Oryctolagus cuniculus: one gene and its partners. The protein of the gene in region 4 binds, or shares a complex with, the protein of the main gene of each other region. Links are inferred from orthologs where the notes say so. Each region holds a gene or a part of one and is shown on either strand. Other genes may lie near its edges. The genes, in order: LSM5, SNIP1, EFTUD2, SNRPF, ARMC7, SRRM2 and PRPF31.

Region 1 (3,976 bases), on a different chromosome or scaffold from region 4:
AATTTTACATTTAAAAAAAAATGTGTAAACCATTTTGAAAAAAAAAGATTTACTTATTTATTTGAAAGGCAGAACTACAGAGAGGAAGAGGCACTATCCACTGGTTCACTCCCCAGATGACCACAAGGGTTGGAGCTGTGCTGATCCGAACCCAGGAGCCAGGAGCTTCTTCCAGGTCTCCCACAAAGGTGCAGGGCCCAAGGACTTGGGCCATCTTCTACTGCTTTCCCAGGCCACAGCAGAGAGCTGGATTGGAAGAGGAGCAGTTGGTCTTGAACCGGAGTCCATATGGGATGTCGGCATTGTAGGCAGCCTTTACCTGCTACGCCACAGCGCTGGCCCCTCTTTTACTTTTTTTTTTTTTTTTTTTTGACAGGCAGAGTGGACAGTGAGAGAGAGAGACAGAGAAAGGTCTTCCTTTATCCGTTGGTTCACCCCTTAATGGCCGCTGCTGCCAGCGCACTGCGGCAGGTGCACCACGCTGATCTGAAGCCAGGAGCCAGGTGCTTCTCCTGGTCTCCCATGCTGGTGCAGGGCCCAAGCACTTGGGCCATACTCCACTGCACTCCCTGGCCACAGCAGAGAGCTGGACTGGAAGAGGAGCAACCGGGACAGAAGCCTCAAGAAAAGGAATGTTTTTGGGGCCGGTGCTGTGGCACACTAGGTTAATCCTCCGCCTGCAGTGCTGGCATCCCATAAGGGCACCAGTTGTATTCCCAGATGCTCCTCTTCCGATCCAGCTCTCTGCTATGGCCTGGGATAGCAGTGGAAGATGGTCCAAGTCCTTGGGCCCCTGCACCGGCGTGGGAGACCCAGGGAAGGCTCCTGGCTCCTGGCTTCGGATCGGCCCAGCTCCGGCCGTTGGGGCCATTTGGGGAGTGAACCAGCGGACGGAAGACCTCTCTCTGTCTCTCTCACTGTAACTCTGTCAAAGAGTGAATTGGTGGCGGGAAATACTGATTTTTACTAGTCTTTATAAAGACAATTTTATGGGAAAACAAGCCAAAAGTTTCCTTATGCGCTGTCCTCTCGGTCGGAGGACGAACTCCTTCAGGAGGTTAGCAATCTTCAGCGTCTCTCCGAAGCCTGGGAACGAATCTGCAGGGCAGCACCCCAGGACTCCCACTCCCCAGCAAGGCAGCGCGCGGGCGCCGCCCACGTGGAGCACGCCGGCCGCCCGCTCGGCCTGCGATTGGTCGAGCCTGCCCGGCCGCGGGCAAAGGCGCAGGCGCGCTCTTTTAAAGTCACCGTGGAACGTCGATGGACGCAGGCCACTTCCGGCGTAGCCATGGCGGCTAACGCTACTACGAACCCCTCGCAGCTGCTGCCGCTAGGTAATGGTTTTCCTGTGAGGGAGCTGGGGCGGGAGGCTGGGGTTCAGGACTGGGGGCCGCGGGGTTGCGGCCGAGGCACCCCTGGCTGGTAGCGGGCCTATGTGTGGGGCCGAGCGTTTCCCCTCCGCGGCTCGCGCCGGCTCCCGAGCTCCTGCGCGCCAGGCCGCTGCTGCGATGTAACGTGCTCCTGCCCCTGGAGGCAGCTCCTCGGACTCCCCCGGAACGAACCGTGGGCGGGAGAGGGCCGCACTGGGCGAGCGCACCGTCGGCCGTGTTTGTTGGGAGCGCTGCGGCGCCGTGTCCGGAGTGGCATTTGGGATCCCCAGATGGGGTTCACCCTGTTGTGTGTCTGGGAGTTGAGCGGGAAGCAGCGCGCTGTGGAACGAGCCTTAGAGGAGGAATCTGGAAACTAGCCCTGTTTGCCATTCATTCATTCATTCATCCATCCATTCAGTAAGAGCCCGTGTTCTTCCTGCGTGCTAGTCCACAGCGACCTTAAACCACAGCCATCGCTCCCGAAGGGTACACAAGCCAGTGGAGGAGACAGTACTGGACAAGTAAACCTTGTGCCCCCCGTGCCAGGCTGGCCAGAGGTGCTGAAGCTGCCCCCAGCACCGCGGGGCTTCACTGGCGAGGGAGGAGGTGACAGGAGGCTCCCGCGACGACGGTCAGCGGCCTCTGACATTGTGTAGCCGGCGAGGAGTGGTTGCGTTGACGGACTTCAGTGATTAGGCTCGTGGAAAGCCCCGTAAATGCCCGTCCCTGTCCACTGAAGATCCAGCGATGGGCGAAAATGAGCACAGTGTCCGGGCTCGTGGCGCTTAAGAGTCTGGGGGGATGTGTTTGTGTCCCTAAATTAATCACGTGATCTGGAATAAAGATAAAGCCACAATCATGATAGATTGCTGCACAGAAAGGAGAAGTGGAAAGGCTTCTGATTAAGTAGTGGGAGCGCAGAGGTTTGCATTTTAAGATCCGAGGTTACCAAAGGGGGATGTTCTTCCTAGTTTAATTTTCACTGAATTTGGCAAGTAACAAATGCCAGCGTGCACTCGAGTATGTGCTAAAATGATGAATGGGTAAAATAATCTTTTTGCTCACGCAGAGCTTGTGGATAAATGTATAGGATCCAGAATTCACATTGTGATGAAGAGTGATAAGGAAATTGTTGGCACCCTTCTTGGCTTCGATGACTTCGTCAGTATCCTTTTAAAACGTGGTGCTGTGGCTTTTTCCTGTTTATTTAATAACAGAACCGTAGACAGTGTGTTTCTGGGTGTTAACGATAAAAGTCAGTTCATCTCAGGGCACTTGTGATGGTGTTTTCAGAGGTGAGTATACTGGAAGAAGGTCACATTCCTACCAACAGTCAGCCTTTTTATTATGAGCCTTTGTGTTAAATATTATCATTACAACTGAATGAAAGCAGAAACCAGAGTTGTTTCAACCTGGAGTGTTTATTTCCTTAACACCACCTTTCAGATATGGTATTGGAAGATGTCACTGAATTGTGAGTAGTGCTAAAAATGACAGAACTCGGCTCTTTTTCAAATTCAGGACATTTTAAGTACTGTTTAGTCAGCAAAATGGAAGTAGAGGCAACTTTTATTTACTAATGCTTGTAAAAGTTATGTAATTGTTGCTGAATTGCTAGGAAATTAGTGGAGACAAAGCTTGAAGGTAACAGATGTTAACGTGCAGGGATTTTAAGGCTCAGGTCATATCAAGGACCTGATGATGAAAACATTTAACTATATAATGTAAAATGTAAGTGATAAGTATTAGTTACATAGTAGTTTAGTGGGTAGAAATCAGTAGTAATACAAAATGTTAAAGAGTGAGTCTACTAAATATTTTATATTTGATCTTGGCAGGTTCCACCTTTTTTTTTTTTTTTTTTGAAGATAAGTCTCATGGCTGTGAATCTTTTTTAAAGCTTTATTTATTCAAAAGCCAGGTTACAGAGAGAAAGAAAGAGAGGGAAGGAGGGAGATCCTCCATTCGCTGGTTTACTCCCCCAAAGGGCTGCAATGCCAGGGCTGGGCCAGGCTGAAGCCAGGAGCCATGAGCTTTCCCCAGGTCTCCCACATCTGTTCAGGGGTTCAAGCACTTGGTCCACCCTCTGTTGCCTCCCCAGGCACATCAGCAGGGAGCTGGACTGGAAGTGGAGCAGCCAGGACTCAAACCAGTGCCTGTATGGGATGCAGCACTGCAGGCAGCAGTTTAACTTGCTGAGCCACAGTGCCAGCCCCCTTGGCTATGGATCTTATTTATATCCATTGGTCTACTCTTGCTTTTGATGAAGAGTGTACATTACCCAGTGGATAACTTTTATCTCTGAAAATCACCTTTATAATTGCTGAACTTTCGTTTATACAAACATTACCTTTTTAGAGAGAGAAGGTGTTTCTAAAATGCTGCCTTTGGTTACCACCATTTATCCTGACTTTCTGTTTTATCACTTCATTTAGTGAAATCACACCGGAAGGAAGAAGGATCACTAAATTAGATCAGATTTTGCTAAATGGAAATAATATAACAATGGTAAGACACGTTAAAACTGTTTCTGTGGGACAGGGCTTACAGACCTAACTAGTAATGTTGCCGGTTGCTTCACTCATGCCGTGGCTTGGTGGTGCTTA
Region 2 (4,111 bases), on a different chromosome or scaffold from region 4:
TGGGACACAGGAAGTTGAGGGGAGCTTGGTCTTGGTTATCTGTGGGATTGGACTGGAGGGTCCCGGCTGCTGGGGGCTGGCTTTCAGTGGCCGAGCCTGGGAAGAGACGATTCAGGCCTTCAGCCCCCTGGACGCCTCCGGGTCTTGCGCACCCCCTCCCCTACCCCCAGCCCGTGAAGAGTCCCTGGTCCCAACGCAATGCGCGGACCAGTGTTTCTGGAGGAAGCGGTCAGGCGTCTGCGCTCCCACCTGTAGCGGTGGGGACATCGCGACCTGACCTGTCCTTGAACCCGACTACCGGGAGAGGAATCCCTACCGTCTGTCTCCCCGCGACCAGGTCTAACCTGCGGCGCTCACACCCAGCGACATCTGGACCACCCGGACCACTCGCTCCCTCTCCGCCCGTCCCAGGGCCCGTCCCCGGACTCCGGACTCTCGCCGCGGGGATCTGCCTGGCCCGGTCCCCCGAGGCCCGTCCTCACTTTGGGGCTCCGTTTCTCCGTGTTCCGGCTCACCAACACCGGGGTGTCGTACTTGAGCAGAGAGTCGGCCGGGGGGATCATGGCGGCGATGGGGGCCTGGTTTGCGGTCACCATGGAAACCGCCCCCCCTCCCGGCCGGGGCGGGGCCTCGGGTGGGCGTGGCGCGGCGCGCGGACGCGTCCCGCGCAGCCCTGGCGCTCGGCCCCGGCACTCGGCGTCTTAATCTTGCTGCCAGCCGGGTCGCCCGGGAGACGGGGGTTCGAGTCCCTGCGCTGCGTATAGCGCGCAACTTGCGTGATTGGGTAGATCCCCCTTCGCTGAGCCCCAAGATTGTCACCTCAGTGAAGGGCTGGAGACCATTCCCCAAAAGAGGGTCTCTGGAATCCCCAGGGCTTTAAAAAGTATTCCTCAAGGTTAAATGGCGAACTGACATAGCAGGATTTGTCCACGGGCTACTATGATTGCATTTTTGTATTTCCAAGGCCAAATGGAATCACGGTTGGCGCGCAGTTTCGTCGCCTTCCTCTACCGTGTCGGTCCGGGCTTTTTCCACAAAGCGGTATATGGTTCGTGATAACGTTACTAATAGCTACGTAATGCCCAGTGATTGGCTAAGGAGCCCCCTACAGCTGTACACTGAGGTTGCCCACATGCTCTGTAGTTACGCGGTGAAGAATTAACTTGAGAGGTTCGCTTTTCCCCAGTAGTTTGCTTTCCAAACTTAAAACTCCCGCCCTTCGGGCCGGCTCCCTGCAGCCCCGCCCACGGGGGGGGCGCCGTCACATGTTCAGCGCTCCGCCGCGAGGGTTGCTGGGAGAGCTCACACCCCGGAAGCGGAAGTCCAGAGGTCAAGCTCGTCATTTCCTTCGGAGAGAGTGGCTCAACGGACCTCTTTTCTTTTGCCCGACCCGAGTCGCAGAATGAAAGAGGTGAAGAGCGAGCGGGAGCGGAGGAGCCGGCGGAGGCACCGGGAGGGGGACGTGGCGGCGGCGGCGGCGGCGGTGGTGGTGAAGCAGGAGCGCCTCAGCCCGGAAGCCGAGCCGCCCGCCCCCCGCCGGCCGGACCTCGGCGCTACTCCGTCCCCGCCGGCCGGCGAGCCGGGCCGCCCTGGCCACCGCGGGAGCAGAGCCCGGGGAGAGAGCCGGTAAGCAGAGAACAGCCGGGGTGGACCTTGGGTCGGACTCATTGAGAAAAGAGCACAGGGCCGGCATCAGAAGTGGGTTCTGAATGCCGAGCCCAGCAGCGGGAGGCGGTGGGAGTGGCCGGGTCGCGCTCGGGTAAAGGCGTGTGTGCTCCGGTGCTGGTTACTTGCGTGACAGCTGGGGTCGAGCTGATGCCTGTGGGTCAGGGCCTCGCCCCCTCTTTCGTGTGTCGCCAGCACTTCGCGGAGCGCGTGGCCCAGCGGCTAGCACTCATCGTCCGTTAAGTTGAAAGATTTTCCCCCCGTCTGCCCGCGCAGGGAGTGCGGGCGTTGTCTTCGCCCTTATCCACCCCACGCGAGTATAAGCGATCTGCTAGGTGCACTGTTTGTTCATCGTTCAGCGTACTTTTACTGAATGCCTATAGGGTACTAAAGAGTGCACTAGGGACCTGGGCCACACGGGTGAGGCTTTCGTGAAATTGGACGAGCTTGAGCCCCAGGAAGACTGCCAACATGCAAACAAAACAGTTTCCGATGGCAACAGGTCTCAGGGCTAGGTCGGCCCAGTAAGGTGATCGTGAGAGACTGGAAGGAAGCGGGGATAGAACTCTTTGAAAGAGGTGCCGTTTGAGCAGAGACCTGAGTGATCTGGCCGCCGAGGAAACGTGCAAGGAACGTGAGCTAGAAGTCGTGATCGTGGAGGAGGAGGAGGATGGTAGCGATGAGGTGGGCCGGGGAGGAGGTGCCTCCCGTGAATTGTGGTGATGAGAGTGACTTCTGCATGGTGGTGGGCGAACAGCCAAGGGACAGACCTGGACAGGAGAGTCTTCAAAGGGTAGGGGATGGAGAGCCGTGTTCCCTGAGTGAGGAGGATCCGAGGCTCCGAGGCAGCGGCGTAGGCGGGAGAGTAGGTGAGGAACGGGAAGCCCCCCGGCTCCTTTGGTGTGATCAGCAGTCTTTCACAAATGTGTTTGTGTTAGTAGGTAAGCCCCATACCAGAAGCTAGCTTATGTGGGGGAAGGGAAACTGAGATAAAATCCTGTGTGTACCATGCCCTGAAAGGTCTCCAGCCAAAAAGAAAAACAAGTCCTCGGGGAGAAGAAGCAAGTCTCCTCGGAGCAAGAGAAGTCGGAGTCCTCACCACTCGGCAGTCAAAGTGAAGCAGGTAAGTGGGCTGGGGTGTGTTGAGGTGGGGTCTTAGGCCAGCGCCTCTTCCTGCCACCGCAGCCAGGGAAACAGCCAGCCAGAAGCACACCCACAGAGACAGCACCTACACCTGCAGCGGGCTTTTCTGAAAACTGAGTGTGTGAGTTTGTTTTGGTTGTTGGTAAATTTCTGCTGGTTTTCTTAAGCTTTTTTATTTTGAGATAATTACTGATTTAGATCAGATTTAATAAAGACAGGTGTTTCTCCCAATGGAAGCATGGTACAGAAGTGTAGTCACAATATCACAATCAAAATATTGGCATAAGTTACAAAACGTTTTTCCTGCCACCTGGACATGGCATGTTGTCCTGTTATAGCACACCCACTTCTTTCCCACCTTCTCCCTTCCATAAGTCCTGGCAACTTTTAATCTGTTGGCTTAATTTTGTCATGTGTCAAGAATGTTACAGGCCGGCGTCACGGCTCACTTGGCTAATCCTCCGCCTGCGGCACTCGGTACACCGGGTTCTAGTCCCGGTCAGGGCCCCGGATTCTGTCCTGGTTGCCCCTCTTCCAGGCCAGCTCTCTGCTGTGGCCCGGGAGTGCAGTGGAGGATGGCCCAAGTGCTTGGGCCCTGCACCCGCATGGGAGACCAGGAGAAGCACCTGGTTCCTGCTTTCGGATCAGCGCGGTGTAGCGGCCATTAGAGGGTGAACCAACGGCAAAAGAAGACCTTTCTCTCTGTCTCTCTTACTGTCCACTCTGCCTGTCAAAAAAAAAAAAAAGTTACATAAGCGGCATCACACACCATGTAACCTTTGGGACTGGCTTTTTTCACTCAGCAAAGTTCTTTGGCATGTAGGTTGTTGCATTGATCAGTTCATTCCTTCTTCTTGAGTGGTATCTGTAGTATTAGTTTAGCCGTTTGTCCATTAAAGAACATCTAGGTTTCCAGTTTTTGACTCTTACACATAAAACTGCTGTATAAACATTTGTGAACAGGTTTTATGTGAACATAAGATTTCATTTCTTTGGGATAAATGCCCAGGAGTATAGTATATAGTATAGTATAGCATATATAGTATATATGCTATATATTATACTATAGTATAGTATAGTAGTTGCATGTTTAATTTTTAAAGAAATTGTTTATTTTCCATAGTGGCTGTGTTCGTTTGCTAGGACTGCCATAACGAAATACAGACTAGGTCGCTTAAATGTTAGAAACTTATTTTCTCGTTATTCTGAAGTCTAGAATTTGAAGAATAAGGTGTCAAATAAGGTGTCAGGTTTAGTTTCACCTGTGTGGGGGTAGGGAACTGCTTTTTGGCTTGCAGGTGGT
Region 3 (4,064 bases), on a different chromosome or scaffold from region 4:
CTGTTGGTTCACTTCCCAAATGCCCACAGCACCAGGTCTAGGCCAGGCTGCAGCTGGGAGCCAGGAATCCAAGTAGCTGGACCTCATCTGCTGCCTCCCAGCTGTCCGAACTCCACCCGGCACTCTGATGTGGGACGTGGGTGTCCCAAGCAGCAGCTTTAACCTGCTGGAGAGTGAACCAGCAGATGGAAGAACTCCCTCTTTTCTCTGTCTCTTTGAATTTAAATAAATTGAAAATAACTAAATATTTAAAGATAATAAGTATTGTTTAAAAATGAATTTATTTTGGTGCAAAAACATTTTGAAATCCATGCAACTTAAAATAATGTTTTATTTATTTGAAATGCAGAGAGAGAGGGAAAGGGAGAGAAGGAGAGGGAGAGAAGGAGAGGGAGAGAGGGAGAGAGGGAGAGAGGGAGAGAGGGAGAGAGGGAGAGGGAGAGGGAGAGGGAGAGGGAGAGAAGGAGAGGGAGAGGGAGAGAAGGAGAGGGAGAGACAGAGAGAGAGATCCTCCATCTAGTCCTTGACTTCCCAAATCGCAGCAACAGCCAGGGCTGGGCCAGGCCGAAATCAGGAGCCTGGAACTGCATCCAGGCCTCCCACGTGGGTGCAGAGCCCAAGCACTTCAGCTTTTCCCAGGTGCACTAGCAGCGAGCTTGAGCCGAAGTGCCCACTGGACCTGCCCTCACCTGAGATGCTGGCGTTGCAGCGGCGGCCTGACTCGCTGCGCCACAACCCCTGCCTCATAGTTTTTTCATAATACACATTTTCATGCACTTTTTGGAGGCACCCTCTATCGTATGCATGGACTTGGAATATCTGCATCGAAATAAGCTTATCTTTTAACTCCATTTCCCACAAGCTTTTCAAGTGCCCGCGTACTTGTGAGACTTCTCTGGGGACACCGAGCAGTCCTGGCAGGGAAGCAGGCGGTCCGCAACTAGCTACCCACACGGACAAACCTAGCGAAGTTGAACGCCAGAACCGACTGGGCTGGCCAGGAGCTGAACTCAGGAGTCCCGGCCCCTGAGCCCTGCAGTCAGCCAATAAGTAGAACTAACCCGTCTGTCCTCCCGACCCAGCCACCCGGACCTTCACCACCGCAGTTCCCGCCTCGGTCCCCTCGCTTTCCTTGGGGACTCCCTGGTGTACTGGAACCAAACGGCGGCTCGGAGCCCACTACGCCCAGCATCCGCGGTTGCCTAGCAACTGCGCCAACGGCCTGCCCACGTGACCTGCCCGAAAGCCCCTTTAGGTGTCCTGGCGGTGCCTGACCCAGTAGTCATGTATGCTCAGGCTTCACTCTCTTTCGAGCAGCCCACGCTTGGGTATGGGATTCACAACTCCACCCGGTCGGCTCCTGTGTCTGCGGTCGGCATTCCTCAGTGCCGGTTCTCAGGCACAGGGCTGTCCTCCGTGGCAGAAACGCGGCCTCGGCGTCTGCGGGGTCCTTCTTGGCTGCGGGCGCAGGCGCTGCAGTGACGCGAGGCGGCCGCGCGGTCTCCGTCGGCGGACTTGGGGTTCTACGCTGAGCAGGGAGGAGGTGAGCTAACGGGGGTCCGTGGCGTGGGAAGGTTATCTGGGCAGGGCGGGAAGTTACAGAGCATCGTATCTGGAAGAGGCATGAGGTGCTGTCTGCCCGTTGCGGATGAGTGAGCTGAGGCCTGGAGCCGGAAGGAGCCCCCAGCCCCATCCCTGAAGTCCCGTTCCTGGGCAGGGTTGAGCTTTCACTGCCGCGTCTCCTCGCTCTCTCATCAGTGCCGCCATCACCTCTTCTCTGCCAGGCTCTTTGTCTTCATTTGGGATTCTTTTTCAGAAGTTAAAATAGCGAGGGGCTGCGGTGAGGTTCGTAACCAGCTGGTGCAACTCAGCTGTCTGTGCGTTGCTGGAGTCGTCCGATCGTGCGTTCAGCACATGCTTGCTGAGGGCCTGTTTTGTGCCAGGCGCTGTCCTAAGTGAACGAGAGACCTTGCTTAAGTTGTAGCGGGAAGAACGAACAGGATGCAAACGAGTAGATTCATGTCTTGATAGGAAAACGGTGAAAGTGAGGGTCGGAGAGCGTGAATGAGGGGCTTTTTAGTGAAAAGAGACTTTGATAAGCTAGAGGGCAAAGTTACGAATACCTCAGGCAAGAGCATTTCAGACAGAATGGCAGGTGCAGTGGCCTTGGGGCTGGGCTTGACTTGTTCCACGAACCGCTCTCTATGGAACTCTCTGCATTTGTTGGCTGGAGGTCTCGGGAGAATGAATGAGCCCAGTTTGATAGCTCTTTGGAAGTAAAAAGAGCCTTTATGCATATGAGATTTTCTCTAATAATGTACACGTAACTACCACTTTTTTTTTTTTAAGATTTATTTATTTATTTGAAAGAGTTACACACAGAGAGAAGCAGAGGCAGAGAGCAAGAGCGAGAGAGAGGGAGATCTTCCATCCACTGGTTCACTCCCCAAGTGGCCACAATGGCTGGAGCTGCACCAATCTGAAGCCAGGAGCCAGGAGTTTCTTCGGGTCTCCCACTTGGGTTCAGAAGCTCAAGGTCTTGGTCCATCTTCCGCTGCTTTCCCAGGCCATAGCAGAGAGCTGGATCAGAAGTGGAGCAGCTGGGACTCAACCTGGTGCCCATATGGGCAGTGCCGGCTTTACCACTGTGCCACAGCGCCAGCCCCGTAACTACCTCTTCTTGGGTTCTCCAATTATGTGTTTTATTTGCAATCAGCACTCAGCAAGTGGCATTGAGGGAGGTTGAGGTATTAGCTCAATGCAAGAAACATCAGTATCAAATATTCCATTCCATTTGCATTTATCCAGTTCCTGCTTACACAGGGTGCTCTAGGGCTTTGGGAGGGGAGCACAATGAGCACAGGTTCTTCTAGTCAAGAATGACCAGAGATAGATGACAGGCATTATAGCACAGTGGGTTGAGACACTGGGAAGGCCACATCCCATGTTGGTGCAGCGGTTCGAGTCCCGGTTTCTCTGCTTGTGTCCCGCTAAGGCATCCTGGGAGGTAGCAGGTTTTGGCACAGGGGCCCCTGCCACTCAGTGGGGGACCTGGATGGAGTTGCAGGGTTTTTATCTAATCCCCAATCATTTTATGCATGAGGTTTCATCACTCCATTTTCCAGTTCAGGAAATGGATGTGCAGAGGTGAAGTAAGACGTACATGGGCTGGCTTTGTGGCTTTGCAGGCAAAGCTGTCTGTGACGCCACTTCATCTCGCGGAGGCTGCTCCACTTCCGATCCAGCTCCCTGCTAATGCCCTGGGGAAAGCAGCAGAGAGAGGATGTTTTGGGACGCTGCTACCCACATGGGAGACTGGATGAAGCTCCTGGCTCCTGGCTTCAGCTTGGCCCAGCCCTGGCCATTGTGGCCATCTGGGGAGTGGATCTGCACTTGGAAGAGCCCTCTGTCTTTCTTTCTGTCCCTGTAACTCTTTCAAATAAATAAATAAATCTTTTTTTTTTTTTTTAAGTTACATAGTTGCTAGTGATGAGTTTGGGATTTGAATCTAGGTCTTCCAGCTCCAGAGGCTTGGTGTTGTGCTCCTGAACTATGGAGTTGTTGAGGGTAATTAGTGCAGTGAACCGCCATCCAGGAAAAAGCTGAACAGTGATGTAAATCCAAAAGACTGCAGCAGCATGGGGGAATAAGAAATTGAGATCTGGGTCAGCGCTGCGGCTCACTAGGCTAATCCTCCGCCTAGCGGCACCGGCACACCAGGTTCTAGTCCCGGTCGGGGCACCGGATTCTTTCCCGGTTGCCCCTCTTCCAGGCCAGCTCTCTGCTGTGGCCAGGGAGTGCAGTGGAGGATGGCCCAGGTGCTTGGGCCCTGCACCCCATGGGAGACCAGGAAAAGCACCTGGCTCCTGGCTCCTGCCATCGAATCAGCGCGGTGCGCCGGCCTCAGCGCACCGGCCGCGGCGGCCATTGGAGGGTGAACCAACGGCAAAGGAAGACCTTTCTCTCTGTCTCTCTCTCTCACTGTCCACTCTGCCTGTCAAAAAAAGAAAAAAAAAAGAAATTGAGATCTAAGAAAGCTTGAAGGAGGTAGCATTTGAATTCTT
Region 4 (4,089 bases):
ACTATTACTGAGTGACATCTTTAAAAATGGTTAAAGTGGCCAAATTTTTATGTATATTTTATCACAATAAAAAAATTCACACCAAATCCCCCCCCTCACTGGCAAAATCATTTACAACTAGTTTAACCAACATAGTTCATCAATTCTTTCAGCTAATCTGTCTTCCCTCTGAAGAAATGCTTCTAGTTGATTACATTAATGTTGTGCCTTTAGCATTCATTAAGAGACAAGAATTTCACTTGAAAAATATCAGATTTAAGCGCTGGAAAAAGGTTTGCTTTTGAAAGCAACTCATGTATTTCCCTTATTATATGAATAATCAAATGCCTGAGTCCTCCTCACTTTACCCACCACGAGTAAGGTCTGTGAATCCTGGCCTAACCCCGTGTCTTGTACCTAGTCTATCAGTTGTAACATCCTCCCTGGCCTTGACTTCATTCCTGAATTTTGTTCTATCTTTGCCAACTGTATGAATTATTAGTCACACGAAACCTTGGAGGAATAAAGTGGAACAGAAGAAACACAGTGTCACCACCCTTTCACCTCTAGCTTACCTGCATGTTCATATAGCCGTCTACAGACACCAGGTAGCCCTTGTACTCCATTCCCCACTTGAGTTTCACCATCACGGGCTTCCCTGTTAATCCATTGAGGAAAGGTTTGGGATTGAGGGGTAAACTCTGCACAAAACAAACAAACAAAAAATCCATTGATTTTTTTTTTTCCTTAACTTGGCTTCCACTCCTCACTCTCCTCTACCAATCCACCAATCAATATTTTGTAACATCCAAATGAAGCAAACTCTTCACTCCCTATCACTCTACTACCTAATTTCCACTTTTGTTTGTTGAAGAGCATCTGGGAAATTTTTTTTTTTTTTTTGACAGGCAGAGTGGACAGTGAGAGAGAGACAGAGAGAGAAAGGTCTTCCTTTGCCGTTGGTTCACCCTCCAATGGCCGCCGCTGCAGCCGGCGCACCGATCTGATGGCAGGAGCCAGGATCCAGGTGCTTTTCCTGGTCTCCCATGGGGTGCAGGGCCCAAGCACTTGGGCCATCCTCCACTGCACTCCCGGGCCACAGCAGAGAGCTGGCCTGGAAGAGGGGCAACCGGGACAGAATCCGGCGCCCCAACCGGGACTAGAACCCGGTGTGCCAGCGCCGCAAGGTGGAGGATTAGCCTAGTGAGCCACGGCGCCGGCTAGCATCTGGGAAATTTAACCAGTTATCCCATTTCGTCTTCAACCCATCACAAAAAAATAAGTGTTCACGCTGCACTTAGGAGACAAGCGGCACCTGCAGTCCTCAGTGTCGCAAGCTCTAAGGAAACAAAGATGAAAGCCCTACAACAAACGTGTAACGAGGCTCTGTCCTTAAGAAGCCAGGGTGGGGGTGTGGCGCTGCAGACATACAGACAATTATATTGCAAAGCAGTAAGAGCGATGCTATGCAGAAAGGCCCAACCAACTCAGGAAAAAAGACAGGAACGGGCTGCCTGGTAGGAGCAATGCCTCCGTTTTAAAGGGTGAAGTCTATTCCAGAGGGAAAGGGGACCGCTGGAGGCCAGGGAGGCTTCCCATCTGGAATGACCGTGTGTATGTGTGCGCTTGCGCGCGTCATCCCGAGAACAAGCAGTACGGTCAGCATCCCACTCGGGGCAGGACCAAGCTCGGCAGGGCTCGGTCCTCACCCGACCGGTGCATCGCCGGCGAACCGAGTCTCTCCGCGCTCACCTCCTCACCCCGAGGAAGAACCCAGACACCGCTACTAAATCGCGGGAAAAGTAGGAGGGCTCCACCCGCAATAACCGCCTAACGGCCCCCAGCTCCCCACTTCTCGGGCGCAGCGAGCACACAGCCGCTACGACGTGTGCCAGAGCGCATCCCATCGGGCCTGATGAGAAAGCTCCGACGGCTGCCGAGGGCGCCGGGGTAGACCCTCCACACGCTGCCCAGGTCCTGGCGCTCTCGCAAGCGGTGGCCGCTTTCGGCCAACACCCACCACGAGTGTAGCTGTCCCTCCCTCATCGTTCCGGAGCCCCATTTCCTGTCACCCGGGCTCGGGTGAAAGCCCCCCTCCGGGGGCAGCCGCGGAAGGCGCCCCAGCGCCCCGGGGCCGCAGCCTCCCGCCCGCTCCCGTCTAGGCCGGTGCCCATTTCGGTGAACAGCGCCTGACGGACGTCTGTCTCTCACACCCCGCCCAGCTCGGCCGGTGCAGGGTCCGCATGGGCACTTCTCAGTCTCTAGTCCTGGAGCCCAAGACTCAACCTGGCCAAGTCGCCGGCGCTCAATAAGCGTCAGAACGAATACACGAACGCTCCGGGGCCTGGGCCAAGGCGGGCTGGAGAAACATCACCGACGGAATAAAAGCGGCTTCATGAGTGCGACGAAGTGGGAAACGCAAACCGCTTCAGCGTTTGCTACATCCACCCCGACTACCTCTTTCTTCCCTGGACTCAGAAAGAAGAGGCAGCAGGAGGCGAGGGTCGTCCCAGCCAGGAAGGGACTCGCGCGCGTCCGCGGAACCCGCAGACTGGCGCCCCGGTGCGCTGCGCCTCGCGGATGAATGGGAAAGGCGCGAAGCCGCCACCAGGCTCAGCCAGCCCGAAGTTGCCTTCCCGCCCTCTCCGTCTCGCGACTCCAGCAGTCCTCCCTCTCCTTACCATCACGACTTCGGGCTAACGTTGCGGATTAGACGCCGCCGACGCAGATACAGCCCGTCCCGCGTGCTCGGAGCAGCTTCCCCCAAGGCCCAGACCTCCGAAGTTGCAAGAGAAATGGCCGCCAAACCTCAGCTTGACCTTTCACCTCCCACCACCGCTCTTTCGCCTTCTATGATTGGTCAAAAAGAGGCGTGTGCTGATTGGAGGAGATGGCGCAGCCGTGTCTCCCAGCAACCAGAGACGCGTTCGGCGTTACTAGTCTTCTCCCCTGCCTTGAAGAACCGGCTGTGAGAGGCCGCGTACCCTGTGGCGCACACGTGATTTCTCGGCAGCTTGGCTAATGGGGGGTCGCTTTGTTAGTTTACAACGGTGAGAACGCGTTCGGGGCTCTCAGGTCCCCGGGTACCGCGATTTGGGGGCGCCTCTGCCACAGCCCCCTTCGACCTGAAGGTTGTCTATTCGGTAGCACCCGTTTCAGCGTTCTAAGAGGAAATGAGAGGAGCGGGCCTGGAGGCGGGGAGGTGAAACGGAGGGGCCGCGGCAGAATTCTTTGCAGACTAGGAGCCAGGACCTCCCCCGGGGCGTTGCCCGCGGGCCCCCGGCCCCGCCGGCCTGGGGAGCACCTGCGGCAGCACGGGCTGATCGGTGCCCGCGACGCAGCCGCCAGCCCCTCTCCGCGCGACCGACGCTGGACTAGCCCGGATGGGAGGTGCTGAATGCAGATCTCGGAGAACTGGCGCTTGGAGGAGGACCGCCTGCTGCTGGACACCCCCCAGAAGATGCGTTTGGACTTGAGCTTTCAGGAGATGCTCGCTGTGACTTACGTGTTGTCGGTTTAAATGATGAGCAGCAAGTCAGGGTGATCATCAGTGTGGTGTAGACCGAATAGCTGTTAGAATTATTTACCCCAAAGTGCACTGGGTTTTTTCTGGTTAGTCATCGTGTCGTGGATCTTCAGCTTTTAAGAAAAAAAATTCTTAATTTTCTTTATGAGAGAGCGAGAGCGAGACAGAGAGCGTACACGCTCTTGGACCTACTGGCTCAACTCCCCAAACACCCGCAACAAGCCAGGCTGAAGCCGGGGGCTGGGAACTCCCAAGTGAGTGGAAGGGACCCAAACTACTTGAGCCATCACCTGCTGCCTCCCAGGGTGCATTAGCAGGAAGCTGGGTCAGAAACCCAGCGGGGACTCCAAGCCAGACACTCCCATCTGGGATGTGGGCGTCTTAGGCGCTATGCCAGATGTTACACCCCTGCATCTTTAACTTTGCTATAATCTTTAGTTCCTAACTTTATGTCCGGCTCTTTCCCAATTATTATAGAAATCACACAGTGTGATCTGAAGTTACAGCTGAGATGAGAAAAACAGACTTGGCAGAGAACTTGCCCAGAGGCACGTAGCTGGATTTTAACCCCAAAACTGCTTTCT
Region 5 (4,006 bases), on a different chromosome or scaffold from region 4:
GAGGAGCTCACCTCCGTGTGCCCTCAAGCCCCAGGCTCCTGGTCCCCAGGCCTTCGCTGCTCTGTCCAGCAACAGGCGGGAAGTCCCCTGGCTAAGACACACTTTCCCAGGCCATCCAGGATCCCCACAGAGTCAAAGGACAAAGGGCAGCTATGGTACCCAAGCACCAAGGCCAAGGTCAGAATGGCGCTGTGGCACAACTGGTTAAATCCACGGCCTATAGTGTCGGCATCCCATGTGGGTGCCGGTTCGTGTCCCAGCTCCTCCACTTCCAACCCAGCTCCCTGCTAATGTGCCTGGGAAAGCAGAGGAAGATGGCCCAAGTCCCTAGGCCCCTGCACCCACACGGGAGACCCAGAAGAAACTCCTGGCTCCTGGCTTCGGATCGGCACAGCTCCGGCCGTTGCGGCCATCTGGGGAGTGAACCAGCAGATGGAAGACCTCTCTCTCTCTCTGTCTCTACCTCTCTCTCTAACTCTGTCTTTCAAATAAATAAAATAAACCTTTAAAGAAGAAGAAGGTGTGCATAGGGCAGGGCTGCAGCCTGCGTCCACCGCAGCTGTACTTGGCCCAGGGATGCAGCCACATTCCTTGGCCCCAGGAGCTCACAGCTCCAAGCACCATGGGGATGTGGCAAGGCCTCCTTTCCTGGTGCTGTTCTCTCCTGAGAAGCTCCGAGGAGTCAGACCAAAGGGCTTCAGGATCCCGGGCCCAACAACGCAGAAAGCTGCAGCGGTCCACAGGGGCGAGCTGAGGCTCCTTCCAGGGCCCTCCGGTGCTGCCCGGGACAACCCAGCTGTCAGAGGCTTAGGGCAGGACCCCAGTCCTCGGGACTTCGGGTCAGAGGTGGAGGGCCCCAATGGGGTCAGAGCGGAGTCGGCCGGACTTGAAATCCTGAAGGGTCGCAGGGAGCCGACGCTGAGGCTCCAGGGGGACGTCTAGGGGAGAAGGCTGGGCTGCGACCGCCAGCGGGTGTGGGGAGTGTGCGTCTGCCTCGACAGCCCCCTATGTGGGCACCCCCAGATTCTGCGGCACTCCTGGGTCGCCCCGGCTCCTCGCCGCATACCCGACCGCGCACCTGTCTGCCGCGCGCGTCCCCGCGGGCCCGGAGCTCATTGCGCACGCGAGCCGAAGAGCTCCGTGACGGCCCCGCCCCTTCTCGCCTCGCCCCGCCCCGTCTCTCCCCGCCCCGCCCCTTCCGCCCTCCGGGGGCGGGACTAGCGCGGCTTCCGGCCGGGACTCTGACAGGATCCTGAGGGTCCCGCCTCCCACTTGCCGTTTCGAGCTGCGGATTCTCGCAGGACCTGAGCCCCCCGGCCGCTGCGGTGAGGGTCTCACGCGGCTGTCCAGGCTGCCTTCTGCCCTTGTCCCACCGGGCCCAGGAGCGCTCGGCCGCCCCGCCATGGCCCAGAAGCCCAAGGTGGACCCCCACGTCGGGCGGCTGGGATACCTGCAGGCGCTCGTCACGGAATTCCAGGAGACCGCGAGCAAAGGTGAGAGCCGCGGGTGGGCGCCGCCGCGAGCCGAGGGGAGAGCCGAGGGGAGGGCGCGGGTGGGCGCCGCGAGCCGAGGGGAGAGCCGCGGGTGGGCGCCGAGGGGAGAGCCGCGGGTGGGCGCCGCCGCGAGCCGAGGGGAGAGCCGAGGGGAGGCCGCGGGTGGGCGCCGCCGCGAGCCGAGGGGAGAGCTGAGGGGAGGGCCGCGAGCCGAGGGGAGGGCCGCGGGTGGGCGCCGAGGGGAGAGCCGAGGGGAGGCCGCGGGTGGGCGCCGAGAGCCGAGGGGAGGGCCGCGGGTGGGCGCCGAGAGCCGAGGGGAGGCCGCGGGTGGGCCGGCGCGAGCCGAGGGGAGGGTCGCGGGTGGGCGCCGGCGCGGGGGCCGAGGGGAGGGCCGCGGGTGGGCGCCGCGAGCCGAGGGGAGGCCGCGGGTGGGCCGGCGCGGGGCCGCCGCCCGGGACCGGCTCCAGGGTCGCTTTCCCGTTGCAGACGCCAAGGAGCAGGTCCTCGCCAACCTGGCCAACTTCGCCTATGACCCCAGCAACTTCCAGTACCTGCGGCAGCTTCAGGTCCCGGATTTGTTCCTGGACTCGCTGTCGGAGGAGAACGAGACCCTGGTGGAGTTCGCTATGGGTAAGGGGGGCCGGACCCGACACCTGCGGGGCTGCCGCGCGATGGGAGGGTTGCAAGGGAGTCGTCGGCAAAGCGGCCTTTAGGGGCCCCCCTTGTCGCCCCACAGGCCATCAGGTCACAGCTAATGTGCGGGAGTGCGGGGGTCCCACCCAGGCCCCACCCTCTGCCTAGAGATGGGATCGCAGACAGGGAATGGGAGGGAGCAGCTTGGAGGTGGATCTTTAATGCGACGATAATGTAGACTTTAAAGTCTTTGTCGTTTACTGAAAGGCAGAGAGAGAGAGATTGAGAGATTGCACCCACTGGTTCGCTCTGCAAATGGCCACAACTTCTCCCAGGTCTAGGCCAGGCCAGGCCAGGGCCAGGATCCGGGACCTTCATCCCTCAGGTCCCCACAGGGGCAACAAGGGCCCAGCACTGCCTTCCCGGCTGGATCAGAAGCAGAGCAGCTGGGACTTGAGGCAGGACTCCCGCCAGTTGGCCCACTGCGCCCTCATCCCTGTCCTCGTGCAGAAATGTTTGAAGTCCATACATAGGTTTTTTTGTGAGACTTTTTCATGAACTTGTAATTAATTAATTAATTTGAGAGGCAGAGAGACAGACAGAGCTTCCATCTGCTGTTTTACTCCTCAAATGACAGAAATAGTCAGGGCTGGTCCAGGCCAAAGCTGGGGGCCAGGAATTCTATCCAGGTCCCCCCCCATGAGTGTCACGGATCCGACTACTTGAACCCCTCATACAGTGCCTGCCCAGTGAATACAAGGATATTTCAGCAAGTTAATGGGAAGTGGAGTTAAAATATAAGGGTGTTTTTGGTGCAATTAAAAAAATTAAATTTTTTTCATAATGCACATATTCTATGAATTTTTAAAAATATTTCCCCCCACTCTACTGTACTCTTCTCTTCCTTCCTTCTTTCCTTTTTTTCTTTTCTTTTTTTTTAAGATTTATTTTATTTATTTGAAAGAGTTAGAGAGGTCTTCCATCCGCTGGCTCACTCCCCAAATGACCGCAGCAGCCAGAGCTGAGCTGATCCAAAGCCAGGAGTTTCTTCCAGGTCTCCCACATGGGTGCAGGGGCCCAAGGACCTGGGCCATCTTCTATTGCTTTCCCAGGCCACAGCAAGGAGTTGGATCAGAAGTGAAGCAGCCAGGACTTGAACTGGCGCCCATATGGGGTGCTGGAGCTGCAGGCCAGGGCTTTAACCTGCTGCACCACAGCGCCAGCCCCTTTTTTAAAAAAAAAAAAAATTTACTTATTTGGGGGACCAGTGCTGTGGCACAGTGGGTTAAAGCCCTGGCCTGAAGCGCCAGCATCCCATATGGGTGTTGATTCTAGTCCTGGCTGTTCCACTTCCAATCCAGCTCTCTGCTATGGCCTGGGAAAGCAGTAGAAAACGGCCCCCCTGCACCCACGTGGGAAACCCAGAAGAAGCTCCTGGCTTCAGATCGGTGCAGCTCCAGCCATTGCGGCCATCTGGGGAGTGAACCAGCAGACGGAAGACCTCTCTCTCTGTCTCTACCTCTCTGTGTAACTCTGTCTTTCAAATAAATAAAATAAATCTTAAAAAATAAGTTTATTTATTTGAGGCCAGCACTGTGGTGTAGTATGCTAAGTCTCTGCCTGCAGCGTCAGCATCTCTTACGGGCACCGGTTTGAGTCCTGGCTGCTCCTCTTCTGACCCAGCTCCCTGCTAATGCTCCTGGAAAGAAAGCAGCAGAGGAGCGCCCAAGTGCTTGGGCCCCTGCACCCATGTGGGAGACCCAGAAGAAGTTCCTGGCTCCTGGCTCCTGATTGGCCCAATTCCAGCTATTGCGGCCATTTGGGGAGTGAACCAGCAGATGGAAGATATCGCTCTCTCTCTCTCTCTCTCTCTGTAACTC
Region 6 (3,500 bases), on a different chromosome or scaffold from region 4:
CGTTTCTTTGATTCAGATTCTGATCTAATGGGAAAGGGGGGAGGGGAGAAAAAACATGAACCAACACCTACGCCTGCTCTCTGCCAACTCCTCCCAATCACTCGAAGGAATGCCACCTCATACCTGTGCTTCTTCTTCTTCGAGCTCTTCTTTCTCTCCCGTCGTGGAGAGCTGCTCTCTGACCTGCTGGAGTGAGTTCAGAAGCAAGGTCATTCGGCTTGACTTCTTTCCTGACAGCCCCACTGACAATCTACCCCAAGAAGGTTTCAAAAGCATCTGAGTAACCCCAACATCTACCTATGCCCCAGATATAAGCCCACCTTTTTTTTTTTTTTTTTTTTTTGACAGGCAGAGTAGACAGTGAGAGAGAGAGAGAGAGAGAAAGGTCTTCCTTTTCTGTTGGTTCACCCTCCAATGGCTGCCACGGCTGGCGCACTGCGGCCGGCGCACGGCGCTGATCTGAAGGCAGGAACCAGGTGCTTCTCCTGGTCTCCCATGGGGTGCAGGGCCCAAGCACTTGGGCCATCCTCCACTGCACTCCCTGGCCACAGCAGAGAGCTGGCCTGGAAGAGGGGCAACCGGGACAGAATCCGGCGCCCGACCGGGACTAGAACCCGGTGTGCCAGCGCCATAGGCGGAAGATTAGCCTATTGAGCCACGGCGCTAGCCAGCCCACCACTTATTTCTAAAAAATGTTAACTCATTAAACCAACAAACCAAAAAATGAAAAGAACATTTCAGAAATCAAAAATGCTTCAAGCCAGTTCCTAATTGGCACAGCTGCAGACTCAACCCATCCCCACAGAGGCCACCTGCATTTCTCCTGCTAGCGGAGATCTGAATGGTTCATTCCCTTCTCTGAATTTCTTGACAGCTGTCTCCTGCTTACTGGAAGCAAGATTTCTCAACTCCCAGAGAAAAAGTAACATCACAGGAACAGGCCTACGGCTACTGGAGTAACTTCCCAAGTAACTTACCGTCCTCTGTCTTTCTTCTTTTTCTTCTTCTTTTGCTTTGGAGTGGGGGAGCGAGAACTGCTAGACTCTCGCACAAGGCTGGGGTGAGGTGGAAAGAAACAGAGCTGGATGTTAAAAAGCTTTTCTTAAACGTTTTAACTCAAGAGGAACAATATTTTTAGAATGTGGAAAGAAACAGTCCACAAAGGGAGAGGAAGTCTAGAAATCAGGGAGAGAGCTAATACTGCTAGCGTGGCCTCGAGTACCTGTAAGGTTTAGGAGGCTCAGGGGCTGCTTGTTTAGCCTCTCGAGCACGACGCTGAGGATCAAAAGAGCTGCCATCCACGTAGGAATCACTGATGCCAAAGGCAGCACGAAGTCGCTCATTCTTCTTCTCATTCAATTCTGCCAACTGGTGAGTCTCAGTTACCCTAGAGAGGAAAAGGGCAGAAGTATAAAGCGACAGAAAGCGAAATGCAGAACGAAATTGAGAACACAACAAGCAGGAGCCACACAGGCACTGGAAAAGGCAGACAAAGGCAGGGCAGAAGTCCCAGGGAAGGAGAGGACGACAGCAGCAGCATGGAGTCCAGAGGAATCAAGGGGAGTGTAACACTCACGCTGGCCTTTGCCCTGGGGTCTCCTCCTTGCCCCCGGGGTTCACATCCTTCTCGAGCAACATGAGTCGAAAGGTCGCCACTTTTTCCTGAATTTGTTGTTCCTCGTACCTGAAGGACAAATCCCTTCAGGGTTAGAGCCTGCCAGGACGCTTCACCCAGTCCCGGGTCTCCATTTCCCTCTTTCCCCACAGGGCCCCTTCCTTCTCCATGCACACAGAACTTTTCACTCTCTGTCACCCTAAACTCCCTTCTCTTAAGTCCTTCTGATCCTTTCTCTCATCTTTCTCCTCTATTTCTACGCCCTCTAGAACAGTGGATTTTAAACATACTAGACTTCAGGGGCCAAGAGAGGAAAGTTAAGCAGGCAGAGTTTCAAGTGCTCATCTACAACTTCAACAAAGTGGAACAAAGTCTTCCATTTCCTAGGATTCCAAAGTAAGATATATCATATAAAAGGAGCGCCACTGCTGAAGTTTGAAAACCACTGCTCTAAAAGGTTTTCTGCCTAAGTATGCTTCTTTTCCAAAATGCCACTTCCCTACTTAGCCCATAATTCTCTCATTCATAATTCTTAAGTATTCTTCCAATTTGTGTCTTACTGGCTTTGACTCTTTCCAAGGCCTCAATCCTTAAAGCGTTTACCTTCCTCTCTTCTATCAATGACACCTCGATCAGTTCAGCGAGCCCTTCTGCCTGGTCTCTGCTTTCTGGACTCTCCCTCAAAGCGTATTTTGTTCCTCGACGGCCCCCATTGCCCCGTGTACCTTGATCTAAATCCAGACTCGCTCAGGTTCCTAATTATGCCCAATTCCTCATTTCCCACTTCGCACTGTCCCTTAACTCCTCAATCTCTAGCTCATTCATCGCCTCCCCTACGAGTGCTCTCCAGGCCTCTACTCCCTACATCCCACCTAGCATCCAGCTCTGCACTCATTCAGTGCTTGGCTCTCCCCCAGGCCTCCCCTCACCCCTGCTCTTCCATCATCTCCTCCAGCTCGAGGCATCGCAGCTCCACGCGCCGCTTGCGCTCGTGGTCCAGGATGTCAGGATTAGGCCGCTTCACCAGGGCAGCCTCCAGGCGCCGCAGTTCCTCCTCTCCCTTGTAGTCAGGCCGCTCACCCCGGCGGCCCCGCACCAGGGACAGGTTGCGCTGGACGTAGCCGTTGGTGCCGCTGCCCCGGGGCGTCGGCAGCCCGATCCCGTTGTACATGGCCCTGTGCCCGGGGGGCACCACCGCTCCTGGGGGGGAGCGGGGAGATACGGGTCAGGCCCCTGGCCCCAAACTAACCACCTACCACCACCCACATCCCTGCTCTCCTGCACCCCTAGTTCAACACCTGTCCTCTCACACTGTATCTCTTACTGCATGTTGCTTCTTCATCCTCCTGGTCTAAGAAACTCCTCCTCATCCTGCCCACACTGCTTCCTCTCCATAAAAATCGTAGCCCAGTTCTCACGGCCTTTTCCCACTAATGCTCTTCCACAGACTACTACACCATTCTTCCTTGCACCTAGATTTTCTTTTCTCCACCCTACACAAAGGATTGATTCTATTGTCTTTCAAATCTCCCCACATTCTCCCTTTGCTCTCCTTCCACACAGATAATCCAAGTGACACTTTCAACTACTCGACATCCTAACTCTGGTAACTGGGCCTCCAATCCACATCCAAAGCCTCGTGAACCTGCCTAAGGATTTCAGACTACCCCGTATGAATACAAGATGGAATAAACAACCCCTAGGTAACCGAAAAGGGGGCTAGTTAGTTAAATCCAAAGTGGTAGGTACAGCCTCACACTCAGACTAACAGCTAGCATGCACATAAGAAACAAATACGAACTTTGGATACATCATCTTACTCCACTTCACCTCCCAGGGAAAGAGCCATTTTCTTGATTCCAAATATTTATAGCTCCCATCAACT
Region 7 (3,500 bases), on a different chromosome or scaffold from region 4:
AGCCGCTGCGGGACAGATGGCCTGGCTGTCCCCGGTGCTGGCTCCCGTCCCTCGTGTGGACGGCGTTTCCTGGCCGCGTGCCTCGCCCCGCCCATCACTGTCCTCCAGTCCGCAGGCAGCAGACGGGAACGGATCCCAGGGTGCCAGCAGGCCGCCCAGAATCCCAGGCCCTGGAGCCCGGGCGCTGCCCCCCACCACCTGCGCACTGCTGCCCAGAGCCAGGCCCTCCGCAGGCCACGCTGCTGCCCTGTGGCTGAGGGCCCCTCCCGCCCGTGCTGTTCCAGCTCAGTTCCTGCACAAGCCGAAGACACCACAGCATGGCCCGCTTGGTGGCCGGGAACCTCAGTGTCCACATGTTTTTTAGAAGGTTTTATTTATTTACTTGAGAGGCAGAGTTACAGTCAGAGAGATCTCTCAGCCACTGGTTCACTCCCCAAATGGCTGCCACGGCCAGAGCTGTGCCGATCCAGAGCTGGGAGCCAGGAGCTTCTTCCGGGTCTCCCACGTGGGTGCAGAGGCCCAAGGACTTGGGCCATCTTCCACCGCTTTCCTAGGCCATAGCAGAGAGCTGGATCGGAAGCGGAGCAGCTGGGACACGAACCAGACCCATACGGGATGCCGGCGCCACCGGCAGCCAGAGCCTTAGCCCACTACGCCACAGTGCGGCTGCAGGTTCCACGTCTGCCAAGTGGGGGCGCTGACTGCAGCAGCCTGGTGCTCGAGCATCTGATGAGGGTCCGTGTGCAGGGCGAACCTGCACAGCAGGGTTGAGAACAGGCTGCAGGTGCTCCCCCGGGAACCTCCGCGTCCTCCTCTGGGCTCCGCCCTCAGCCACAGCGACCCCAGCACACGGCTCCTCCGGCCCTGGCCTCCTTCCCACGATGGGAGGGGGCTGTTGGGAGCAGGGGCCGTGTGTGTGTGTGTGTGTGTGTGTGTGTTAGAGAGAGAGAGAGAGGTCCTCGTGTGTGTGTGTGTGTGTGTGTGAGTGAAGCCCCCTCGGGGAGGAGCAGCCCTGTCTCTGTCCATCTGTCCGGCTCACAGACTCCGCGTCCCCCTGCCGTTGCTCTAGGATCTGCGGCGGAAAGCAGCCCGGCTGGTGGCCGCCAAGTGCACGCTGGCAGCCCGCGTGGACAGTTTCCACGAGAGCACGGAGGGGAAGGTGAGGCTCGCTCTGGGGACCCAGCCCAGGAGCACTGCCCTGACGGGGCACACACACCCCTTCCCTGGCTCGGAGCTCCTGTCTGTCTCCAGAGCCAGCCAGGAGCCCCTGCAGACCCCCCCTCCGTCAGGGACCTCGTGACCCCAGGGCGCCCTCCCCACCCCACAACCCCAGCCACACCCCTCTTGCCTTGTGATGTCAGCCGTTCCGGGCCAGGACCTGGGCCCTGCTGGCTCTGTGCTCTCGGCAGCCGCACCTGCCGTCCTGGGCATTGCTGTGTGCCGGCTCCCAGCCCGGCAGTGTTCAGGTGCCCAGCCGCCACCCCTGCACACACGCACACAAAGCCCCGCCTCTGGGGCTCCCACTCCAGTAGGGGCTGGGGCAGCAGCCAGGTGACACTTGCCCCACAAATGCCAAGAAGAAGAACAGCATCTGGGGTGTGAGGGGTCGGCGGGAGGGCTTCTCTGGCCAGGAAGTTCTGCCCTGCACCCGAGTGCAGTCAGCGTCAAGTCCCAGGGCCCCTGGGGGAAGTTCCAGGTGGGACGGTCAGTGCAGGCGGCCTGAGGCTGGAGCCCCCCCAGCCCCCGGGGGGTGAGGCGGTGATGGGGCACCTTCTGTGCCCTCGGGAGGACCTGGCACCTTGGAGGTGCTGAACAGGGGCCTGCGGGACCTGAGGGCGGTGCCGGGAGAGCAGCAGGCATCGCGGGTGTGAGCTGGACGACCGGCCCACCCACTGTCCGGGGCTGAGAGCTTGGTCAAGCAGCAGCTTCAAAGGGCACCCAAGAGCCGCCAAGGCCGTCGGGTGCTGCGGGCTGATGGCCCGTGGTGCAGCCGCCCCCGCCTCCCTGTCCCCCCCCAGGTGGGCTACGAGCTGAAAGACGAGATAGAGCGCAAGTTCGACAAGTGGCAGGAGCCGCCCCCCGTGAAGCAGGTGAAGCCGCTGCCTGCGCCCCTCGATGGGCAGCGGAAGAAGCGAGGCGGCCGCAGGTGAGAGACCCGGGGGGCGCGGGCGGGGGCCTCCGAGAGGAAGAGGCCCGAGCTCTCTGCCCGCGCGTGACCCGCCGCCTTCCCAGGTACCGCAAGATGAAGGAGCGGCTGGGGCTCACGGAGATCCGGAAGCAGGCCAACCGCATGAGCTTCGGGGAGGTGGGCCCCGCCCCTCACCCAGGGCCCCCAGTCCTGCCCCGTCCCCGCCCCCCCCACCCAGGGCCCCTCTGGCTCTCCCCTTCCGCTGCCCACCCTCACCAGGCTCCCAGGACCCAGGCCTACCGGCCTCCCAGGCTCAGCCACACCCGCCCCCTGTGCTCTGAGCATCCTCTGGTCCTGCGGCTGGGCTCAGTGCCCCCAGTGCTGAGACCTGTGCTGCCCTCGCACCCTCTCCCCCCAAGCATGAGAGAGGGCGCTGTGTGCTGAGGGCCCCCACCTGACTGCGGGCACCCCCCCCCCCAGATCGAGGAGGATGCCTACCAGGAGGACCTGGGCTTCAGCCTGGGCCACCTGGGCAAGTCGGGCAGTGGGCGCGTGCGGCAGACGCAGGTGAACGAGGCTACCAAAGCCAGGATCTCCAAGACGCTGCAGGTATGGGCGGGGCCCAGGTGGGGGCGGGGTGAGGGACGGGGGCGGGGCTGCCCCTTCATCCCGTGCCCTCCCACCCACAGCGGACCCTGCAGAAGCAGAGCGTGGTGTACGGCGGGAAGTCCACCATCCGTGACCGCACCTCAGGCACAGCCTCCAGTGTGGCCTTCACGCCCCTGCAGGTACGGCTCGGGCCGCCCCCCACCAGGGCCTGCTGGGGGGGTGGGGGGCAGCCAAGCTCCTTCCCTTTCCCCGCGAGGCAGCGGCACGATGGGGTCCCCTCTCCCTGGCCATGTGGTCCCGGCACAGTAGGTGTGAGGAGGGTGTACAGACCAGCCCCAGACTGAGGCCTGGGGCTGCCCAGTTCCTGGTGCGGGCGACCGCCCCCTCTGGGGCTCCAGGCGGTCACGAGAAAGCTGCCAGGTGGGCTTGGGTTCCCACTTGGGTTCCGTCCGAGCCGCCACACCTGTCCGCGGCTCCGTGCAGTCACCACACGGCAGCGTGCCCCATGGTGATGGGTGACGTCCCCACGCTCCCTTGCCCAGCCAGGGAGTGTCCACTGGGCGCCCACCAAGTCCCAGGAGCGTCGGGCTCTGGGGAGGAGGTGAAGAGCAGAGGAGACAGCGCGGGTCGGTGGGACCGTGGGACACAGGCGCCCGGGCAGCGGGAGCAGGACCCAGAGGCCCTCGTGGGAAGAACCACCGCTGGGCGCGGCTTCGGCCGCAGCCCCCTGGGGCTCTGTTCCCGGGCGGGATGTCGCCTCTGT

Evidence for each region.
Region 1: SNRPF (region 4) and LSM5 share a complex: the UniProt entries of both Homo sapiens proteins name them as parts of the U4/U6-U5 tri-snRNP complex. The link is inferred for Oryctolagus cuniculus from reciprocal best matches to the Homo sapiens genes SNRPF and LSM5.
Region 2: SNRPF (region 4) and SNIP1 share a complex: the UniProt entries of both Homo sapiens proteins name them as parts of the minor spliceosome. The link is inferred for Oryctolagus cuniculus from reciprocal best matches to the Homo sapiens genes SNRPF and SNIP1.
Region 3: SNRPF (region 4) and EFTUD2 share a complex: the UniProt entries of both Homo sapiens proteins name them as parts of the minor spliceosome. The link is inferred for Oryctolagus cuniculus from reciprocal best matches to the Homo sapiens genes SNRPF and EFTUD2.
Region 5: SNRPF (region 4) and ARMC7 share a complex: the UniProt entries of both Homo sapiens proteins name them as parts of the minor spliceosome. The link is inferred for Oryctolagus cuniculus from reciprocal best matches to the Homo sapiens genes SNRPF and ARMC7.
Region 6: SNRPF (region 4) and SRRM2 share a complex: the UniProt entries of both Homo sapiens proteins name them as parts of the minor spliceosome. The link is inferred for Oryctolagus cuniculus from reciprocal best matches to the Homo sapiens genes SNRPF and SRRM2.
Region 7: SNRPF (region 4) and PRPF31 share a complex: the UniProt entries of both Homo sapiens proteins name them as parts of the U4/U6-U5 tri-snRNP complex. The link is inferred for Oryctolagus cuniculus from reciprocal best matches to the Homo sapiens genes SNRPF and PRPF31.

The regions. Positions count from the first base shown.
Region 1 is NC_091447.1:23,533,065-23,537,040, reverse strand, and holds the start of LSM5 (U6 snRNA-associated Sm-like protein LSm5), read left to right. Parts: upstream 1-1,176; 5' UTR 1,177-1,288; coding exon 1,289-1,334; intron 1,335-2,439; coding exon 2,440-2,535; intron 2,536-2,816; coding exon 2,817-2,844; intron 2,845-3,805; coding exon 3,806-3,878; intron 3,879-3,976. UniProt on the Homo sapiens protein: Plays a role in pre-mRNA splicing as component of the U4/U6-U5 tri-snRNP complex that is involved in spliceosome assembly, and as component of the precatalytic spliceosome (spliceosome B complex).
Region 2 is NC_091438.1:135,212,989-135,217,099, forward strand, and holds the start of SNIP1 (smad nuclear-interacting protein 1), read left to right. Parts: upstream 1-1,311; 5' UTR 1,312-1,402; coding exon 1,403-1,626; intron 1,627-2,685; coding exon 2,686-2,788; intron 2,789-4,111. Other genes in the region: DNALI1 (axonemal dynein light intermediate polypeptide 1), read right to left, coding at 1-96, 483-596. UniProt on the Homo sapiens protein: Required for pre-mRNA splicing as component of the spliceosome. As a component of the minor spliceosome, involved in the splicing of U12-type introns in pre-mRNAs. Down-regulates NF-kappa-B signaling by competing with RELA for CREBBP/EP300 binding.
Region 3 is NC_091448.1:18,150,324-18,154,387, reverse strand, and holds the start of EFTUD2 (116 kDa U5 small nuclear ribonucleoprotein component), read left to right. Parts: upstream 1-1,264; 5' UTR 1,265-1,543; intron 1,544-4,064. UniProt on the Homo sapiens protein: Required for pre-mRNA splicing as component of the spliceosome, including pre-catalytic, catalytic and post-catalytic spliceosomal complexes. Component of the U5 snRNP and the U4/U6-U5 tri-snRNP complex, a building block of the spliceosome.
Region 4 is NC_091442.1:98,723,836-98,727,924, reverse strand, and holds the start of SNRPF (small nuclear ribonucleoprotein F), read right to left. Parts: upstream 2,801-4,089; 5' UTR 2,664-2,800; coding exon 2,661-2,663; intron 681-2,660; coding exon 555-680; intron 1-554. UniProt on the Homo sapiens protein: Plays a role in pre-mRNA splicing as a core component of the spliceosomal U1, U2, U4 and U5 small nuclear ribonucleoproteins (snRNPs), the building blocks of the spliceosome.
Region 5 is NC_091448.1:5,404,931-5,408,936, reverse strand, and holds the start of ARMC7 (armadillo repeat-containing protein 7), read left to right. Parts: upstream 1-1,206; 5' UTR 1,207-1,402; coding exon 1,403-1,493; intron 1,494-1,979; coding exon 1,980-2,123; intron 2,124-3,487; coding exon of another isoform or gene 3,488-3,516; exon of another isoform or gene 3,517-4,006. UniProt on the Homo sapiens protein: As a component of the minor spliceosome, involved in the splicing of U12-type introns in pre-mRNAs.
Region 6 is NC_091450.1:32,562,953-32,566,452, forward strand, and holds part of SRRM2 (serine/arginine repetitive matrix protein 2), read right to left. Parts: intron 2,816-3,500; 5' UTR 2,787-2,815; coding exon 2,545-2,786; intron 1,685-2,544; coding exon 1,577-1,684; intron 1,388-1,576; coding exon 1,223-1,387; intron 1,056-1,222; coding exon 978-1,055; intron 187-977; coding exon 124-186; intron 25-123; coding exon 1-24. UniProt on the Homo sapiens protein: Required for pre-mRNA splicing as component of the spliceosome. As a component of the minor spliceosome, involved in the splicing of U12-type introns in pre-mRNAs.
Region 7 is NC_091449.1:4,557,696-4,561,195, reverse strand, and holds part of PRPF31 (U4/U6 small nuclear ribonucleoprotein Prp31), read left to right. Parts: intron 1-1,069; coding exon 1,070-1,159; intron 1,160-2,018; coding exon 2,019-2,146; intron 2,147-2,232; coding exon 2,233-2,305; intron 2,306-2,608; coding exon 2,609-2,737; intron 2,738-2,817; coding exon 2,818-2,916; intron 2,917-3,500. UniProt on the Homo sapiens protein: Involved in pre-mRNA splicing as component of the spliceosome. Required for the assembly of the U4/U5/U6 tri-snRNP complex, one of the building blocks of the spliceosome.